Anolis sagrei: one gene and its partner. The main gene of each other region encodes a partner of the protein of the gene in region 2 in a complex. Links are inferred from orthologs where the notes say so. Each region holds a gene or a part of one and is shown on either strand. Other genes may lie near its edges.

Region 1 (10,413 bases), on a different chromosome or scaffold from region 2:
ATCAAATATTAAATGATGAGTTTATACACAGGCAACTCCCATTGGAGCAATTGATCTCCTTTAGCTGGAAATCACAGCAGGATTCAGGCCCTGTTGGGACTAACTAGTTTTTTTTTTGGTGTTGTGTCAGGAGCGACTTGAGAAACTGCAAGTTGCTTCTGGTGTGTGAGAATTAGTTGTCTGCAAGGATGTTGCCCAGGAGACGCCTGGATGAATTGATGTTTTTTTATCATCCTTGTGGGAGGCTTCTCTCATGTCCCTGCATGAGGAGCTGGAGCTGATAGAGGAAGCTCATCCGCCTCTCCCTGGATTTGAACCTGCAACCTGTCAGTCTTCAGTCCTGCCGGCACAGGGGTTTAACCCACTGCGCCACCGGGGGCTCCTACTAACTAGTTGAGGCAGCACAGCTCTTATTCAAAGACCGTGGAAGGGATCCCTATTAACTTAGACACAGGCTATTAAAATAGCAGGATATTGACAGTTTTATTTTATATAAAACATTCCAACCCCACATTTTCCATTTTATGAAATCTCAAAGTTTCCCCATTTCTGATTGCGACTATAAGTCCTATAAAGTAACCCACAGGTACCTTAAATTCACGGAGGGACACCTGCCCCTTCTGGAAGCTCTCCATGAACTGAGTGCTCTCCGCCTGGACGTGGACCTCTTTAGTGCTTTCCTTCAGAGCTTCTGACAAATCCCGATGGGACATCCTGTTGAAAAGAGGTTTGAATTCAGAAAGAAGTGTCAAAACACGAAATTCGTTTATGCTTTGTATACACCTGGTGGCACAACAGGTTAAACCGCTAAGCTGCTGAACTTGCTGGCCAAAAGGTTTGAATCCGGGGAGTGCTGTGAGCTCCCGCTGTTAGGCCCAGCTTCTGCCAACCTAGCAGTTCAAAAACATGCAAATGTAAGTAGATCAATAGGTATTGCTTTGTGCAGTCATGCCAGTCACATCACTTTGGAGGTGTCTACGGACAAGACTGGCTCTTTGGCTTAGAAATGGAAATGAGCAGCATCCTCCAGAGTCCAACACATCTAGACTTAATGTCAGGGGAAACTTACTATACGCCTTATACACATCAGGGTTATCTGAGTCCACACTGCCATACATCCCATTTCAAAGCAGATATTGCGGGGTTTTCTGCCTTGATATTCTGGAATATAGGGCTGTGTGGAAGGGCCCTCAGTTCAAAGCAGATATTGTGAATTATCTGTCTTGAGGTTGTTGAGCATGAAACACATTTTGAATACTCTCAGAATGCAAACATATCATTATCCCTGCCAATTATGTGGACAGTTTTAGATTTGAGAATTCTGGACATGGGATGCTCAACTGGGACCTTGAAGGCAAACTGATGAAATGTTGTCTGAACTGTGGACCTCCAGGTGTTTTGGATTTTGATTCCCAGAATCCTTATTTGTTGGTTGAGGTGGTTGAAGCTTCTGGGGGCCCCATCACATAGTTGAATAAAATCCCATATTTTCTGTTTTGAACTGGAATATATAGCAGTGTGGTCTCAGATAACCTAGTTCAAAGCAGATATTGTGGCATTTTCTGCCCTGATATTCTGGCTATATGACTGTGTGGAAGAGCCCTAGGAGTTGAAGTTCACAGTGCCTAGAGGAGTAGCATTTGGGACTCACTGTTTTAGTGGGGATGAAGCTTGGGGGAGGAAAATACAGCCCATTTGAGCATCAAATGTATCACTCGGCTCACATAAACTATAATCCATGTACACATGTGTACATAATACATGTGTATAGCATAAACCAGAGCTTAGAAAACATACTATAATGTCCCAAATTCTCAATAAAAGCTTTGAGAACCACCAATTTAGAGGGGGGGGGGGGGAAATAGCTTTAGAAAGATCCAGTCCACTCAAGCATCAAATATAACACTCAGCACACATAAGCATTAATATATACGCACATATGTACAGAAGATATACGTATAGTACACGTCAGAGCTTTGAAAAGTCAATGTAATGTGTACTGAATCCCTAAACCAGCATCAAGAAAACTTTGAGAACCACCTTTTGACAGCAACAACCCTATATCCCAGAATATCAAGGCAGAAAATCCCACATTATCTGAGTGTGGACTCAACCCACTTCAAAGCAGATATTGTGGGACTAGGACACTAAGATCATCTGGGGAGGCCCTGCTCTCTGACCCGCCTGCATCACGGGCATGCTTGGCGGGGACGAGAGACAGGGCCTTCTCAGTGGTGGCCCCTCGGCTGTGGAACGCCCTGCCTGCAGATATCAGATCGGCCCCCTCCCTGCTGGCGTTTTGGAGGAAAGTGAAGACCTGGCTGTTCGAACAAGCATTTGATTAAACAGTATAATTGAACATAGGAATACAGAATAATGGATGATGAGACTGGATTCTGATTTTACTGTTGAGGCGCTAATGATTATTATTCTGATGTTAATGATTTATGTTACAATTGTTTTTAATTGCCCTATACTTGTCTCGTGATGTTTTGTATCAATGTTGTTCACCGCTTTGAGTCACCTGAGGGCTGAGAAAAGCGGTATATAAATAAAGTAAATAAATAAATAAATAAATAAAAAATTCTGCCTTGATATTCTGGTATATAGGGCTGTGTGGAAAGGCCCTGTAAGTAGAGTTAAGCCATGGATGAGCAAGTGTGCAAAATATACTTTATTGCATATTGGAACACTGGTATCTAACAATTGGATCCAGGTGCAAAATAAACCAAACTCTGAGGCCCCCTCCGAACAGCTGTATACAATCCCACATCATCTGCTTTGAACTGGAATATGTGGCAGTGTGGCCTCAGATATCCCAGTTCAAAGCAGATATTGTGGGATTTTCTGCCTTGATATTCTGGGATATAGGGTTATGTGGCAGGGCCCTTAGTTTACACAAACTGCAATATACACACACACACATGTACAGGATATATATATGCATAGTAAACATCTGAAAAGTTATAATAGTGTCCTGAATCTCAAAGTTAGAATTTGGAAAACTCTGATGTACATGTGCAGATAGTGAGAAAACGTACTTGTATATAGACTTATATAGTTTTTATTGCCTTTATGTTTTATATGCATTTATGATGTAATGTAATTGTTCTTAACTGTGTTGTGTGTGTGTGTGTGTGTGTGTGTATATATTTGTGTATATATGCACACAGCATCTAATTGTGCCGATTTTGTATGCCGCCCTGAGTTGCCTTCGGGCTGAAATGGGTGGGATAGAAATAAATAAATAAATAAATAAATAAATCTACACTGTATAATTAATGCAGTTTGACATTGTGCATTAATTGTAGAATTAATGCAGTTTTCCCTGTGTTGATGCTGTGAAATTCTGGGAGCTGTAGTTTGTGGAGGCATGAGCCTTCTTTGGCATCTAAGATGAAAGACCTTGTAAAAATCCAGCTCCCAGGATGCCATACCACTGAGCCCTGGTTAAAGTGGTGTCAGACTGCATTAATTGTACAGTGTAGAGCAGGCATGGGCAAACTTCGGCCCTCCAAGGGTTTTAGACTTCAACTCCCATAATTCCTAACAGCAGGCTGTTGGGAATTGTGAGAGCTGAAGTCCAAAACACCCGGAGGGCTGAAGTTTGCCCATGCCTGGTGTAGATGCACCCTGAAACAAGCTTTGCAAAATCCAGCGTGGGTTTCTGGGGAAAGGAGACCTCGCCACTTGTCCTCCTTACCTTTCCGAGCTGTGTGCCATCCTCGCCTGCTTTTCGTTTCCTCCGGGATGTTACTGCGTGCCTTGAGTTTTCTTTCCTCCCGCTCAGAGTCGGAGAAGTTTCTGAGTGTGTCTGCCCGGCGCTGGCATCTTCCTTTATATGCCTCTTTGCAGGTCACGTGCTCAGCCCAGGAAACATCTGACCTCACTGTACAGTCCCTTTGCACAATATAGAGACATCTATGCCTTTTGTGTCCCCTCTCTCTCTCAGTGGGGTGGCTTCTTCCCCTTTTAGGGAGGAGGAAAAGTCACTTGATGCAATTTGACAACTCAGCAAGACAGGATGGCGAGAAACAGCTCTTTAAAATATATATGCTAGGTACTTTGTCCAACCACATGATTAACGCCTTTTCTTCATTTGAAGTCACAGAAAACTTTATATTGTGTATATGACTAGTGAGAGCCATGATTCTAAATAAAAGCATATGTGTCTTTGCCTTTGTTTTTAAAGAGAAAAAACAGCATGTATGAAGAATGCAAAGAGAGAAGATGATGCAGGAAAACACCTTTGCTGCTATATTTAGAGTGAAATGGAAAACAAACTAGAACAAAACTCAAATCAGTGATGGGAAATACAATGTGCTAAGAACTGTCCTCGGTGGCGCAATGGGTTAAAACCCTTTTGCTGGCAGGACTGAAGACTGACAGGTCAGAGGTTCAAATCCGGGGAGAGCTCAGATGAGCTCCCACTGCCAGCTTCAGCTCCCCATGTGGGGACATGAGAGGAGCCTCCCACAAGGATGATAAACATCAAAATATCCAGGTGTTCCTATTCCTTAAAAGAGGGGGAAAGAGAGTGGAGAAAGAAAACAGGGTGAGGCAAAGATGAGGCAAATAAAAGCTTCTTTGAGTCCCCTTTGGGAAGATAAGGCAGGGTATTATTAACAATAATATAAGAAAAGAAGAAGGGGTCTTTGTCCACCAACTGACAAATTACACTGGAAGGGAACATGGCCCTAAGTCAGTGGTTCCCAACCTTTTTTTGACCAGGGACCACTTGACCAGGGACCACTCTGCAACATTTCTACCAAAAGAGTTACAAATCAGTTTTTGATCAACTTTAGAGTCAGTTTAGAGTGCTGATTCAGAAAATTGTATTGAATAGACCATATCAGCTCTAGTTTCTGATACAGAATATATGCCATGGTCAGTGACAGGGAAGGAGTGGCAGGTGGCATGAAAGGAGCAAAAATAAAATAAAATAAAATAAAGATGAAGAAGGCTCATGGACCAGATTTTTGTCCTCGTGGCCCACTGGTGGTCCACGGCCCACAGGTTAAGAACCACTGCCCTAAGTTCAAGGTTCCCCAAACCTGATTGTCCATCTGCATATTTAATGCAGATTCAGCACCACTCTATTATTGAAATATACAAAAGTGTTGTTTAACTGGAAAGGCAGACATTTTAATTGAGGTGAGTGACCGAGTGACCCTTTAGGACGTATGACATGCAGTGACAGTCCTGCTGACTCAGCTGAGCTTCTCAACTTCTCTTTTCTCCTTTCGAAGCAACTGGAGAAATCACAAACCCTATTGCAAAATGTTCTCAGCTCTGCCGATAGCTGTATTGCTGCTGTACAAATTCTTGGTATCAAATATAAAACAGTTATACAATTCTGCCAGGAGTCACCATGTCCTCACCATCATGCTGTTGAATCTTAATATGACACAGCAAGGAGCCACATTTGTGGATAAGTATTCAATGGATCCATGTGAGGTGACAGATGCATTGTGTTCACCCATGACTGAGGAATTCTTGACATAATTTACCTTTAAAAGGAAGTAGCAGAGATGAAAACCTTCAGAAGGAATACTTTCCTTTTACCCTACTTGAAGCACAAAAGATGCTTCCACCCAATCTTATCTTTACCTGCTATCAGTGCCTGTAATAAGTAGTGTTACATCGGAGTTTCACTGATATCACCCATTTGGTTGTTATTTTTGTCCAGTGGTTTATTATAATGTTTCTATTTGAAATGGGAAGAATAGAAAAGGAGCAATGAGTACAATACAATATGATCCATGTAATGTCACAAAGTCATCATGATTGTCAGGGATTAAGAATAATTCATATAGAGTGTGCAGTACTGGAGACAGAAATGGGTGGCATGACCTGGCTTTGAAATCTTGCTTAGCTATAACGCATGTTGAATGACCTTAGGCTGCACATTATATCTCAGCCTAATTTACTAGATTGTTGTAAAGGTTAAATGAATGAATCATAGAATCAAGAAGCCAGAAAATCGCATTCAACGCACCCCTGACAGATGGTCATCCAACCTCTGCTTAAAAACCCCCAAAGAAGGAGCCTCCACCACACTCTGGGGCAGAAAGAGAGAGTTCCACCGCCAAACAGCTCTCACAGTCAGGAACTTCTTCCTCATGTTCAGGTAGAATCTACTTTCCTGTAGTTTGAAGCCATTGTTCTGCATCCTGGTCTCCAGGGCAGTAGAAAACAAGCTTGCTCCCTCCTCCCTATGATTTCCCCTCATGTATTTATACATGGCCATATGTCTCCTCTCAGCCTTCCCTTCTTCAGGCTAAACATGCCCAGCTCTTTAAGCCGCTCTTCATGGGGCTTGTTCTCCAGACCCTTGATCATTTTACTCACACTCCTCTGAACACATTCTAGCTTGTCAACATCTCCCTTCAATTGTGGTGCCCAAAACTGGACACAGTGTGATTCCAGGTGTGGTCTGACCAAGGCAGAATGGAGAGGTAGCATAACTTCCCTGGACCTGGACACTAGACATCACCTTGTTGGCTCATGTTTAACTTGTTGTCCATGCAGACTCCAAGATCTTTTTCACACGTACTGCTATCAATCCAGGTGTCCCCCATTCCATTCCATTTTTTTCTGCCTAAGTATCTTGCATTTGTCACTGTTGAACTTCATTTTGTTAGTTTTGGCCCATCTCTCTAATCTGTTAAGATAGTTTTGAATTCTGCTCCTGTCTTCTGGAGTATTGGCTATCTTTCCCAATTTGGTGTCATCTGCAAACTTGATGATCATGCCTTCTAACCCTTCATCTAAGACATTAATAAAGATGTTGAACAGGGCCGGCCCAGAACAGAACTTTGTGGCATTCCATTCATCACTTCTTTCCAGGATGACGAGGAAGCATTGGTGAGCACCCCTTGGGTTCTTTCAAAAATGAGGTGATAAATGTATTGCTTTCATCAGCTGGTTTTACTATTAAGTTGAGAGAGATGATGGCCAACAGACTACCAATATGTTTCTGATATGAATGTTTGTGATGACAGATAAGTCTTCAATGACTGCCGCTTTTCAAAGATCACCCCTCTCTCTTTAAATATTTACCTGAGAACTGAGATCTGATGGATGTGAAGACATAGTGACTTTTCTGTTGTACCATCACAGTTGTGAAATGTCCTCTCCTCTGAGGCTTATTTAACAAACAAGGACTTCAACTGGGCACCATTATAAAATATGTCTCTTTACCATCTGGGCGTGTTTGTATATTTGATGGAATTGGTATATAAAGTTTGAACTTGTTTTAAATTGTTTACATTGTTCACATTATTTTAGACTGTTTCAAATTGTATTCAAATTCTTTTTATCATTTTAAATTACTTATTTTTTTGCTGGTGTCTGGCTAAGAATGGAGCGATTAGCTTCGCACAGGGCAAGGACAACTGCATCTCAAGTGAAGTTACTTTTCTGCTACTAATGGAATTTTATTATCTGTGTTTTGTTGCTCTACTCCTCATGTTGGCTTTTATGTTATAGAAAAAAGCACCCAAGCCAGATACTCCACAAAGGAAGGCTGAGGCAGAATGGTAATGCTGAATAAATATATGCAGGTATTGGGTGGCTCCAAACAATACCCATACCCAATAAGCAATAAATGCCAGAAATACTCAGGACCTGCAAAAATGTTCTATCTCTAAGTACTGCTCTCAATACTCCAGCCAGCAACCTCTTTGCAGAGAATGCTCTATACCAGGGGTCCTCAAACTTTTTAAACAGAGGGCCAGGTCACAGCCCCTAGAACTGTTGGAGGGCCGGATTATAATAAGAAAAAAATGAATGAATTCATATGCAAACTGCACATATCTTATTTGTAGTGCAAAAAAAACCCACTTTAAAACAATACAATAATTAAAATGAAGAGCAATTTTAACTTATTAGTATTTCAATGGGAAGTGTGGACCTGCTTTTGGCTGATGAGATAGGATTGTTATTGTTGTTGTTGTTGTTGTTGTTGTTGTTGTTGTTGTGTGCTTTCAAGTCCTTTCAGATTTAAGTTGACCCTGAGTGAGGGCCGGGTAAATGACTTTGGAGGGCCGTATCCGGCCCCTGGGCCTTAGTTTGAGGACCCCTGCTCTATACCATGTCCTCATCTCATCAAGTTTTTTGTTTTCTGCAAATTAATAGGACGGTATTTCATGGACATTTAATACAATCATATCTTTTTGTGTGTGTATGGTGCCATGTGGGGTAGGTGAATGAGAACATTCACTTTTGGGTGTTTGGGGAAAAGAGAGAACAATTGTTTAGTTTAGTTCTTCCCTTCCTGTGGTTTTCCAAAGAACAAAACCAAAAAACCCCAGCTTTGCCAAAACCATGAGGAAACATTTTCCATAGTTTGTTCAGTATTGCCTCCATTATCACCACTAATTCATTGCATTTTCAAAGAATTTTCTTTATTAGCTATGTATCCCATTTTTCCTCCCCCTCCCCCACCTCATAAGTTCAATGCAACGCACATAGGTGTCATATATATGAGAGATCTTTATGCCTCTCTCTTTAGCCTCATGACTGATACACTTATAATATAAAATATTCACCAAATCTTGACATCCTTTTCCTTTGTGCCCTTGTGGTGCTAATGTAATTTTTTTAATTACTACTATATCTCTCATTATTTTTATAATGAATTTCAATGAGAAATTTATTTCCTGATTCTTGATTTTCTTACCTGCTAGTTCAGCTAAATTATGAACAACTTGTTTTGAAGAGAAAAAAATATTTCTGTTAAAAAGCAGTGCCAGTGTCTTCATACAATGTAATTACAAGAAGAGTTCAAATAACTGGCATGTCAGGCAATTATGTTATATATCAGTGCTTTGTTAGGCAATTATGTTGTATATTAGTGCAAGTTTAATGCATTTTAATGGACTTTACGTTTGATGTGTAGATTATAATAATAAACTTGACTTGATTCAAAAAAGCTTCTCTATATTCCTAGTGAACATGAAAATAAATCTGAAAGTCAGCCTTAGGCTCTTTTCCAGACTTGCTGTCTTTGTTCGAGCTGCAGGGAACACAGCCAGACGCCAAACTTGGAGGAAGATGTATGTGTTACTCAGCAAAAGGAATGTTTCCTTTTGGGATGTATCTGACAATGACTCAGCAAAAACAACAATGAAGGGAAGTGCTGAGTCAAGGAGCAACATGCGCAGCTGTGCAACAGGAAAGAGCTATTCCTAAGGGGATGTATTAACAGTTTTGTGGAGACTGAAAGATGCCCAATAATTGCAAAATTAAGCTAATCATTTTTATCCAGCTGTAACACAACAGTGAATAGTGAAGAAGAAATGAAAGTACTGTATGTACTCTGCTGCCATGGGGTGGGGTTAGGGTACAGGACCCCGACCTAAGTGAAAAAAAAGTGAAGTAAATAACCTGAGAAAACACTTTTCTGGGAATCTCTAGATCAGGTTCCGAAGCTTTGTTCGACCAGGACCCACTTTGACCAGGGTCCACTTGACTGGGGACCACTTTGACCGGGAACCACTTGACCAGGGACCACTTTCCAACGTTAGTACCAAAAGAGGAGGGACTGGTCAGCTCTGCAGAAAGGAGCAGAAATAGAATAAAATAAAATAAAGAGGAAGGAGGTTTGTGGACTGGATTTCCATTCTCGTAGCCCACTGCTGGGTCACAGCCCACAGGTTGAGAACCACCGTTCTAGATCCTCCACCACAGTCTCCACTGGTGCTTTCCCACCATGAAAATCTTTGAGAGAAAGAACTCATTTTCGCATTGTTGAAGCTAATTTGAAATAAAACAAAACACAGAGCGAATGCTATAATGGAGAGAGGAAAGAGGAGAGAAGTTGGGTTCCTTGTGGTTGTGCCAGGTGAAAAGCCTTGCCAAGTCAGGAACCTGATGATGTCAGATGGTGTGGCCAAAAGTATAGAGCTGGGAATCTGGCCTTTCACTCTGACATGCTTCCTCGTCACTGCTCTAAGTGCTCACCTATTAATCATGCCACATGCTGGTTTAAGCCATGTGGTTAGGATTCCATGAAAATAGACTGTAATCCTTTGGTTTCTGGATTCATTGAAGCATGGTTGTTCATAGTGAAGGACTGAGAGATGTTATGCTTCAGCATGGGTTGCTCTGACTCAGTAAATCATGCAACACAGATAAAAAGCAAGATCATGAGAGGAACATGACATACTCTAAGGAAGCTTTGTCAAGCGTGGCATCCTCCTGATGCATTGGACTACAATGTCCATTGGCATGATGGTGGAGTGTGGGCGACACAAGGATGAGGAAGGATGTAAATCAGGCATGGACAAGCATCAGCCCTCCATGGGGGTTTTGGACTTCAACACCTAGAAATCCCATCCAGCTTACCAACTGTTAGGAATTGAAGTCCTAAACACCTGGAGGGCTGAAGTTTGCCCACGCATGATACAA
Region 2 (10,188 bases):
CAAAAAGGAAGCCAGGAAGAGAGCTAAGACCCTCCCCGATACAAAAAGAGAGTCAGGAAGAGAGCTAAGACCCTCCCCAATACAAAAAGAAAGACAGGAATAGAACTAAGATCCTCCCCAATACAAAAAGGAAGCTAGGAAGAGAGCAAAGACCCTCCTCAATACAGAAAGGAAGCTAGGAAGAGAGCAAAAACCCTCCCCAATAAAAAAGGAAGCCAGGAATTGAGCTAAGACCCTCCTCAATACAAAAAGGAAGCCAGAAAGAGAGCTAAGACCCTCCTCAATACAAAAAGGAAGCTAGGAATAGAGCTAAGACCCTCCTCAATACAAAAAGGAAGCCAGGATTTGAGCTAAGACCCTCCCCAATACAAAAAGGATGCCAGGAATTGAGCTAAGACCCTCCCCAATACAAAAAGGGAGTCAGGAATACAACTAAGACCCTCCCCAATACAAAAATGGAGTCAGGAATGGAGCAAAGACCCTCCCCAATACAAAAAGAAAGAGAGCTAAGACCCTCCCCAATACAAAAAGGAAGGAATAGAGTTGACCCCCTCCCCAAAATACAAAAAGGAAGCCAGGAATATAACTAAGGCCTCTCAAAACCAAAAGGAAGGAAGGAATAGAGATAACACACTCCCCAATACAAAAATATAGCTAAGACAACCCTCAAAATATATAAATGGCACCCCCCACACACCTCAATGAACCTCCCCTCTCTCAATGTCCATCCCTTTAGGTCCAAAGTCCGGCCCTTGAGTCACTTTTTCCCCCCAAAGCAGAACCCCGGAACCAAAGACCCCCGGAACCCCCAAACGGGGCTCGTGTCCCCCTTCGGGCCCTCACCGGGAGACGCTCCACTGAGCCAAAGCGGACGACCGTCGAGTGGCGAGAGAAACAGCCGACTCTCAGCCAGGCCAAGACTCCCCAGGGGGCGGGGCTACAGCTCTGGATCGTACCACTGCTCCGAGAGGGGGGAAGCAAGGAATCAAAAAAGCCACACTCCCAACTCCATTTCCCAACCTCCCATTTTGCACCCCTCTCCGTCTTTACTTTTCTTCCCCCCCCCCCCCACACACGAAGGGTTGCCAGGGGAAACCATTCCCCTCCAAGGGAAGTCTAAACTCACCGCTGAACACCCCCCCCTTCTCCCGCAGTGGTACGTCCCACACAGTCCTCAGCTGACAGGAGAGAAAAGAGGCTGTGGTTTTACGCATGCGTACTAGCGAGGTTTTTTTGCGCACGCGTACTAATGAAGGAGGAGGGAGGATTCGAGAGCTTGCCCTTTCAGTGGGGTTTCTGGCAGAACTGGGCACAGCTTGGAAAAGTTACTTTTCCTGATGACAACTCTGTGTGTATGTGTATGTATATATATATATATACATACATACAGTATAAGTGTATATATTATATATTGTGCGTATATATGTATATGTATATATGTGTGTGGATATGTGTATATATACATACAAACATATGTATATATACACATATCCACACACACACACACTTATTTGTATATACTTATGTGTGTATACAAATGTAGGAATATATGTATATAGGTGTGTATGTATGTATGTGTATATATGTGTGTGTGTGGATATGTGTATATATACATACAAACATGTATATATACACATATCCACACACACATATATACATACACATATGTGTATATATATACATACAAACATGTATATATACACATATCCACACACACACACATACTTATTTTTATATATTTATGTGTGTATACAAATGTAGGAATATATGTATATAGGTGTGTATGTATGTATGTATGTATGTGTGTATATATATACACATAAGGTATATGTGTATATATATTGTGTGTGTATATATGTATATATGTGTGTGTGGATATGTGTATATATACATACAAACATGTATATATACACATATCCACACACACATATATACATACACATATGTGTATATATATACATACAAACATGTATATATACACATATCCACACACACACACATACTTATTTTTATATATTTATGTGTGTATACAAATGTAGGAATATATGTATATAGGTGTGTATGTATGTATGTATGTATGTGTGTATATATATACACATAAGGTATATGTGTATATATATTGTGTGTGTATATATGTATATATGTGTGTGTGGATATGTGGATATATACATACAAACATGTATATATACACATATCCACACACACATATATACATACACATATGTGTATATATATACATACAAACATGTATATATACACATATCCACACACACACACATACTTATTTTTATATATTTATGTGTGTATACAAATGTAGGAATATATGTATATAGGTGTGTATGTATGTATGTATGTATGTGTGTATATATATACACATAAGGTATATGTGTATATATATTGTGTGTGTATATATGTATATTTGTGTGTGGATATGTGTATATATACATACAAACATGTATATATACACATATCCACACACACACACATCCAGTTCAACCCCCTTCTGCCATAAAGGAAGACACCATCCGATCCCTCCCAACAGATGGCCACTCAGCCTCTGTTAATTAATCTATATTAGTATCTTTAGTTGGAAAGGACCCCAAGGACCATCCAGTTCAAAACTCTTCTGCCATAAAGGAAGACACCATCCGATCCCTCCCGACAGATGGCCATCCAGCCTCTGTTAGTTAATCTATATCAGTATCCTTAGTTGGAAAGGATCCCAAGGGTCATCCAGTTTAACCCCTTCTGCCATAAAGGAAGACACCATCCGATCCCTCCCGACAGATGGCCATCCAGCCTCTGTTAATTAATCTATATTAGTATCTTTAGTTGGAAAGGACCCCAAGGACCATCCAGTTCAACCCCCTTCTGCCATAAAGGAAGACACCATCCGATCCCTCCCGACAGATGGCCATCCAGCCTCTGTTAGTTAATCTATATCAGTATCCTTAGTTGGAAAGGATCCCAAGGGCCATCCAGTTCAACCCCCTTCTGCCATACAGGAAGACACCATCCGATCCCTCCCGACAGATGGCCATCCAGCCTCTGTTAGTTAATCTATATCAGTATCCTTAGTTGGAAAGGATCCCAAGGGCCATCCAGTTCAACCCCCTTCTGCCATACAGGAAGACACCATCCGATCCCTCCCGACAGATGGCCATCCAGCCTCTGTTAGTTAATCTATATCAGTATCCTTAGTTGGAAAGGACCCCAAGGACCATCCAGTTCAACCCCCTTCTGCCATAAAGGAAGACACCATCCGATCCCTCCCGACAGATGGCCATCCAGCCTCTGTTAGTTAATCTATATCAGTATCCTTAGTTGGAAAGGATCCCAAGGGCCATCCAGTTCAACCCCCTTCTGCCATACAGGAAGACACCATCCGATCCCTCCCGACAGATGGCCATCCAGCCTCTGTTAATTAATCTATATTAGTATCTTTAGTTGGAAAGGACCCCAAGGACCATCCAGTTCGAAACTCTTCTGCCATAAAGGTAGACACCATCCGATCCCTCCTGAAAGATGGCCATCCAGCCTCTGTTAATCTATATTCATATCTTTAGTTGGAAAGGACCCCCAAGGCCATCCAGTTCAACCCCCTTCTGCCATACAGGAAGACACCATCCGATCCCTCCCGACAGATGGCCATCCAGACCCCCTTAAATCATCCTATCCCACTGTTGGACAGCTCAGGCTGCCTATGGTCGAGCTCTATGGGATTGAAACTCACCGTATCGGAGACTGTTCTGTTCCTACGAGGCGTTCTTTTGCCGGCTCTTTGTGCTGATCCAAGATAGTCAAGGCCCGCAGCTTTGTCCTTTGCCACCGGCTGGCTGATGATCCCACAATCACAAGACCTTTGCCCTGGAGCCTCCCTTATTTAACTGCGGAGCTGAGTTAAATAACTTGCCAGGTGCCAAGAAAGAACAAGCAGAAAATTATAAAGTGGGTGGAGAAAGAAGAGAGCCATTGGGATCGTCATTGCGGGCCGGAAATGGAAAGGATGTCCTCCTGGGCTCATCTGGTTTCCTCCACCTCCATTTCCCTCTCCTCGTATGCATCTACACTGTGAGATTAATTCACTTTAAGCACCACTCTACTGATTTATAACTTTACTTACTCACTTTGTTTACATCCTGTTTTTGTTCCAAAACAGGGACTCAAGGCATGATTATCCCCAAGGGTGGGGTCAAAGGTCTCCTGAAAGCACCGGAAGAGACCCCCAAAGGGCATCCAGTCCAACCGCTTTCGGACCGGCAGAAAGGCACAGGCAAAACCCTCTCAACAGATGGCCCTCCCATTGGATGATGTGTGATTGAGTTGCCTTCTCTGGAGGTTCTTGAAGCAAAGGCTGGATGGTCATCTCTCCGGAAGGCCTTCATGCTGTCTTTCCTTATGACAGAAGCGGGTTGGACTGGATGGCCTTTAGGGTCCCTTCCAACTCTAAGTTTCTATGATATGTATGTTTAGCAGAGGGAGGATGACTATCTGTCGAGAGGGATTGGATGGTGTCTTCCTGCCTGGCGGAAGGGGTTGGACTGGATGGCCTCGAGGGTCCCTTCCAACTCTAGGATTCTATGATATGTATGTTTAGCAGAGCCTGGATGGCTATCTGTTGAGAGAGATTGGATGGTGTCTCCCGGCCTGGCGAAAGAGGGTTGGACTGGATGGCCTTTAGGGTCCCTTCCAACTCTAGGGTTCTATGATATGTATGTTTAGCAGAGGCTGGATGGCTATCTGTTGAGAGAGATTGGATGGTGTCTCCTGGCCTGGCGAAAGAGGGTTGGACTGGATGGCCTTTAGGGTCCCTTCCAACTCTAGGATTCTATGATATGTATGGTTAGCAGAGGCTGGATGGCCATCTATATACCGGCGGAATAATGTCCAGCGTAGGAGAGAGAACTCTTGTCTGTTTGAGGCAAGTGTGAATGTGACAATTGGCCACCTTGATTAGCATTTGATGGCCTTGTAGCTTCAAAGCCTGGCTGATTGCTGCCTGGAGGGAACCTTTGTTGGAAGGTGTTAGCTGTCCCTTATAGATTCTTGTCTGGAATTTCCTTGTTTTTTGAGCATTGCTCTTTATTTACTTTACTGATATTGCTGTTCCTTCGTTCAGTCGTTTCCGACTCTTCATGACCTCATGGACCAGCCCACGCCAGAGCTCCCTGTTGGCCGTCACCACCCCCAGCTCCTTCAAGGTCAATCCAGTCACTTCAAGGATGCCATCCATCCATCTTGCCCTTGGTTGGCCCCTCTTCCTGATATTAGAGTTTTTTTAAATACTGGTAAAATTCCCACTGGGCAGCAATCAGCCAGGCTTTGAAGCTGCAAGGCCACTAAATGCTAATCATGGTGGCCAGCCCGGAAAACCCACAGCCACCCAGAACTATCGGAGATCAGAGTTTTGTGGGATCGGCAAAGGCCTAAGGGGGTTGGACTGGATGGCTCGAGAGTCCCTTCCAACTCTAGGATTCTATGATATGTATATTTAGCAGAGCCTGGATGGCTATCTGTTGAGAGAGATTGGATGGTGTCTCCCAGCCTGGCGAAAGAGGGTTGGACTGGATGGCCTTTAGGGTCCCTTCCAACTCTAAGATTCTATGATATGTATGTTTAGCAGAGGAGTGGATTCATTGCCCCACTAACTTTATATAATGCCAAAAAGATAATTCCGAGCTCACCTGGGACGTGTAATTGAAGACACACGCGTGTCCATGCACGCCTATGTGTTTGGCAATGGCCCACGATGAATTATACATGTTGGCCAATTAAAAAGGCTTATCTGGCGCTCAACACGTCTTTCATGTCCGCCTCCAGAAGGCGCATGAGCTGCAATTGAAATGCAAGGCCGGAGTGGAAATGCACCGAGCATCAGCCTGATGCTTAATTATCATGCTCTCCCAAGGTTTCCTTCCCAAAGGTCATCCTGCCCTCTCCATCTTGGGCGGCTCAAAAGGCCCATGCAATATGCAGTGTTGACCGCGAGGGAAGCCTTCTTCTGCTTGGCCAAACCTTCTCACCCAGGACAACCCCATGTCCAGTTCTGGGCAAAGCCACTCAAGGTGGAAGGGAAACCAAAATGACAGGGTTTGGCCTCCGGCGAAATGGGAGGAACAAGCCACCAATCTGGACCCACTTCCAGGATGTGCTTAATGGGAGAGGTGCCCTGCACTAATCATTAAGGTTACTACAGATAGTATCAAGGCCTCGGAGGTGAGGCAACTGGTTCCATGAAGGTGCCCATCTGAATCACAAAGTCCACCAGTCCGAAAGATCAACAATTGCATTATCAATGCCAATCTATCAGAGATCTGTTAGGAGTATTTGTTATTGTTGCTGACTTCTTCTTCTCCACCTTCTTCTTGTCTTCTTCTCCTTCTTTTTCTCTTCTCATTCTCTCCTTCTTTTCTTCTCCTTCTTCTCCTCCATCTTTTTCTTCTCTCCGCCTTTTCATCCTCTCCTTCTTCTCTTCTTCTCTTTCTGTTTCTCCTTCTCCTCCTCTCCTTCTCCTCCATTTCCTTCTCTTCTTCCTCTCCATCTCCATCTCCTCCGCTTCTCCTCTCCTCCGTCTCCTTCTCATCCTTTCCTCCATCTTCACCTTCTCCATCTCCTTCTCCTCCATCTCCTTCTCCTCCTTCTCAATTTCCTTCTCTTCTACTTCTCCTCTTCTCCTCCTCTCCTTCGTCTCCTTCTGCATTTCCTTCTCCTCTTCTCTTCTGTCTCCTTCTATTCTTTCCTCCATCTTCACCTTCTCCATCTCCTTCTCCATTTCCTTCTCTTCTCCTTCTCCTCCTTCTGCCTTCTTCTCCTGCTGCCTCTCCTTCTCTTCTCCTTCCCCTCCTCCCCTCCGTCTCCTTCTCCATTTCCTTCTCTTCTCCCTCTACATCGCCTTCTCCTCCTCTCCTTCTTCTCCTTCTGCCTCTCCTTCTCTTCTCCTTCCCCTCCTCCCCTCCGTCTCCTTCTCCATTTCCTTCTCTTCTCCCTTTACATCGCCTTCTCCTCCTCTCCTTCTCCTCCTTCTGCCTTCTTCTCCTGCTGCCTCTCTTTCTCTTCTCCTTCCCCTCCTCCCCTCCGTCTCCTTCTCCATTTCCTTCTCTTCTCCCTCTACATCGCCTTCTCCTCCTCGCCTTCTTCTCCTTCTGCCTCTCCTTCTCTTCTCCTTCCCCTCCTCCCCTCCGTCTCCTTCTCCATTTCCTTCTCTTCTCCCTTTACATTGCCTTCTCCTCCTCTCCTTCTTCTCCTTCTGCCTTTCCTTCTCTTCTCCTTATCCTCTTCTCATCCTCCCCTCTGTCTCTTTCTCATCCTTTCCTCCATCTTCACCTTCTCCATCTCCTTCTCCTCTTCTTCTCCTCTCCTCCATCTCCTTCTCCTCCTCCCCTCCTCCACCCCTCTGTCTCCTTCTCATCCTTTTCTTCATCTTCACCTTCTCCATCTCCTTCTTCTCCATTTCCTTCTCTTCTCCTCCTTCTCTTTCTTCTCCTCTCTTCCGTCTCCTTCTCATCCTTTCCTCTATCTTCACCTTCTCCATCTCCTTCTCCTCCTCCATCTCCTTCTCCATTTCCTTTTCTTCTCCTTCTCCTCCTCTCCTTCTGCATTTCCTTCTCTTCTCCTTCTTTTCCTCTCCTCTGTCCCCTTCTCATCCTTTCCTCCATCTTCACCTTCTCCTTCTCCATTTCCTTCTCTTCTCCTTCTCCATCTCATTCTCCTCTTCCTCTCCTCCTCTCCTCCATCTCCTTCTCCATTTCCTTCTCTTCTCCTTCTCCATCTTCTCATCTCCTTCTCCTCCTCTCCTCCCTCTCCTTCTTCTCCATTTCCTTCTTCTTGAAATAGAGCAATTTGAACCGGCTGCAGATGATGAGATCCTCGTTGTGGATAGCGAAACCTGAACCGCGGATACCAAGTCCCATTAAGTTGGGGGGGGGGGGCTGGCAGTACCCCACTTTCCACATTGCAATTTCCCCTTTTTCCCAGGAACGGATTCATAATCCTATCATCATGGACAATATTCTGTTTAAAAATACAGTGGAAGCACCAGACCCACACAGTTGGGGCTCATAAATACAACAATCACAACATTAGACCTAAAGGTCCCACTTTGTTCGTCCCGGAGTTGGGACAAGGTAATCCAACCATAAAACTACGTCTCCTCTGTGTGAAGTTTCCATTTTGCGCTCTGTCAGCCATTGGAGGGCAGAAATCTGCATTAGGAGTGGAGAATGCTCTCTGATTGGCTGGCGGGCACCACAGTCCCACCTCTGCGGGGAATCCTCCATCAGCTATTCTGACATCATCAGAGCTTGGCCAATCACTGCTCCGTCAGGTCCAGCTGGACGGGAGCGGGAATTTCAAAATATTGGGTGGACTGTCGCTGGTACTGGTAACCACGTATCGGATACCGGTAACCATGTATCAGGTCTCGGTATCCGCGGTTCAGGTTTCGCCATCCGCGGCTCAACTCTCACTATCCGCAGCCATTTTAAATGGCTCTATTTCACATGTGAAAGGGAGTCAAGGGGCTTGGTAAACCACAAGCTGAACGTGAGCCAAGACTGTGATGCAGCAGCTAAAAGGGCCAACACGATTCTAGGCTGCATCCAAGGGAGGATAGTGTCCAGAACAGTGGTTCTCAACCTTCCTAATGCCGCGACCCCTTAATACAGTTCCTCATGTTGTGGTGACCTCCAGCCATAACCCTAACGTTATGAATCACCATGTAAATAATGATCTTCAGGATGTATTTTCATTCACTGGACCAAATTTGGCACAAATACCCGGTATGCCCACATTTGAATACTGGTGGGATTGATTTTGTCATTTGGGAGTTGTAGTTGCTGGGATTTATAGTTAACATGTAAACAAAGAGCATTCCAAACCCCACCAACAATGGAATTGAACCAAACTTGGCACAGAGAACTTCCATGACCAACAGAAAATACTGTAAGGGTTTGGTGGGCATTGACCTTGAGTTTGGGAGTTGTAGTTCGCCTACATCCAGAGAGCACTGTGGGCTCAAACAATGATGGATCTGGACCAAACTTGGCATGGATACCCAATATGCCCAAATGTGAACACTGATGGACTTTGGGGAAAATAGACTTTGACATTTGGGAGTTGTAGTTGCTGGGATTTATAGTTCACCTACAATCAAGGAGCGTTCTGAACCCCACCAATGATAGAATTGGGCCAAACTTCCCACACAGAACCCCCATGACCAACAGGAAATCTGTGTTTTCTGAAAGTCTTTGGCGACCCCTCTGACACCCCTTTGCGACGCCCGCCCCCCCCCCCCCGGGGCCCCAACCCCCAGGTTGAGAAACACTGATCCAGAACGAGGGAAGTCACCTGCAAATCTGATCAGTCTGCTCTTCTAGGATCCAGAACTCAAAGGACGCCTCCTTCCGCCATGGCTCTCCTTTGTTGGGCGCTCAGCATTGTTTGGTGCGAGACACCTGGTCATGGACAAACAGACAGGTGGCTTTTGTGACCAGAATGACATCATCTGGTTGTTGAGTCAAGCCCAACGTTAGGAGGCTCCCGCCATTGTTTTGGAGAGTTTTGTGGCATCTGACGCAAGAGACGCGGAGCAGACAGCAGAGGTTGTTCCCAGCTTGGGTTTGCATCTTCCTCTCTCGGATCAAGGTAAGGCCATAGCTCCAAGTCTTGGATCCATTCCTGGTTTTGGTCCGAACTTTAAATTCCCTCTCCAACATCCTTGGAAGGGCGGATAAGGGACAGGTTTGTTGACATCTCCTTTAATGTTTGGATTAGAATCCGGAGCAGGTTCTCACCAACGTAGGAGACACCTACGTTGCTAGATCGTCTACAGATGTGATTGGGTGGTTCTCAACTTTCCAAGTACCGCGACCCCTTAATATAGTTCCTCATGTGGTGGTGACCCCCAGCCATCACATTGTTTTTGATGCTACTTCATCACTATCATTTTGCTCCTGTTATGAATCGTCATGTAAATATCTGATATGCAGGATGTATTTTCATTCACTGGACCAAATTGCGCAAAAATACCCAATAGGCCCACATTTGAATACTGGTGGGGTTGATTTTGTCGTTTGGGATTTATAGTTCACCTACAATCAAATGGCATTCTGAACTCCACCAATGATGGAATTGAACCAATCTTGAAACAGATCTTCCATGAGTAAGAGAAATGAGGAAATTGAACCAAAC

Evidence for each region. Proteins that work in one complex are often made in the same cells at the same time.
Region 1: the proteins of POR (region 2) and HMOX1 are in contact, whole or in part, in a crystal structure (PDB 3WKT), measured with the Rattus norvegicus proteins. The link is inferred for Anolis sagrei from reciprocal best matches to the Homo sapiens genes POR and HMOX1. Residues at the interface, in NP_113764.1 of Rattus norvegicus: Thr88, Thr177, Asp208, Asp209, Arg313, Arg514, Lys515, Gln517, Arg519, Leu520, Phe522, Lys523, His626, Lys665, Met667, Thr668, Lys669, Gly670, Tyr672; in NP_036712.1 of Rattus norvegicus: Asp12, Ser14, Glu15, Gln38, Ala75, Pro76, Glu81, Lys149, Ile150, Lys153, Ser171, Asp173, Asn174, Thr176, Lys177, Phe178, Lys179, Gln180, Leu181, Arg183, Ala184, Arg185, Asn187, Thr188.

Annotation. Positions count from the first base shown.
Region 1 is NC_090025.1:167,338,055-167,348,467, forward strand, and holds the start of HMOX1 (heme oxygenase 1), read right to left. Parts: upstream 3,840-10,413; 5' UTR 3,724-3,839; coding exon 3,704-3,723; intron 715-3,703; coding exon 591-714; intron 1-590.
Region 2 is NC_090031.1:33,155,068-33,165,255, forward strand, and holds the start of POR (NADPH--cytochrome P450 reductase), read right to left. Parts: upstream 3,861-10,188; 5' UTR 3,734-3,860; intron 959-3,733; exon of another isoform or gene 844-958; intron 1-843. UniProt on the Homo sapiens protein: This enzyme is required for electron transfer from NADP to cytochrome P450 in microsomes. It can also provide electron transfer to heme oxygenase and cytochrome B5.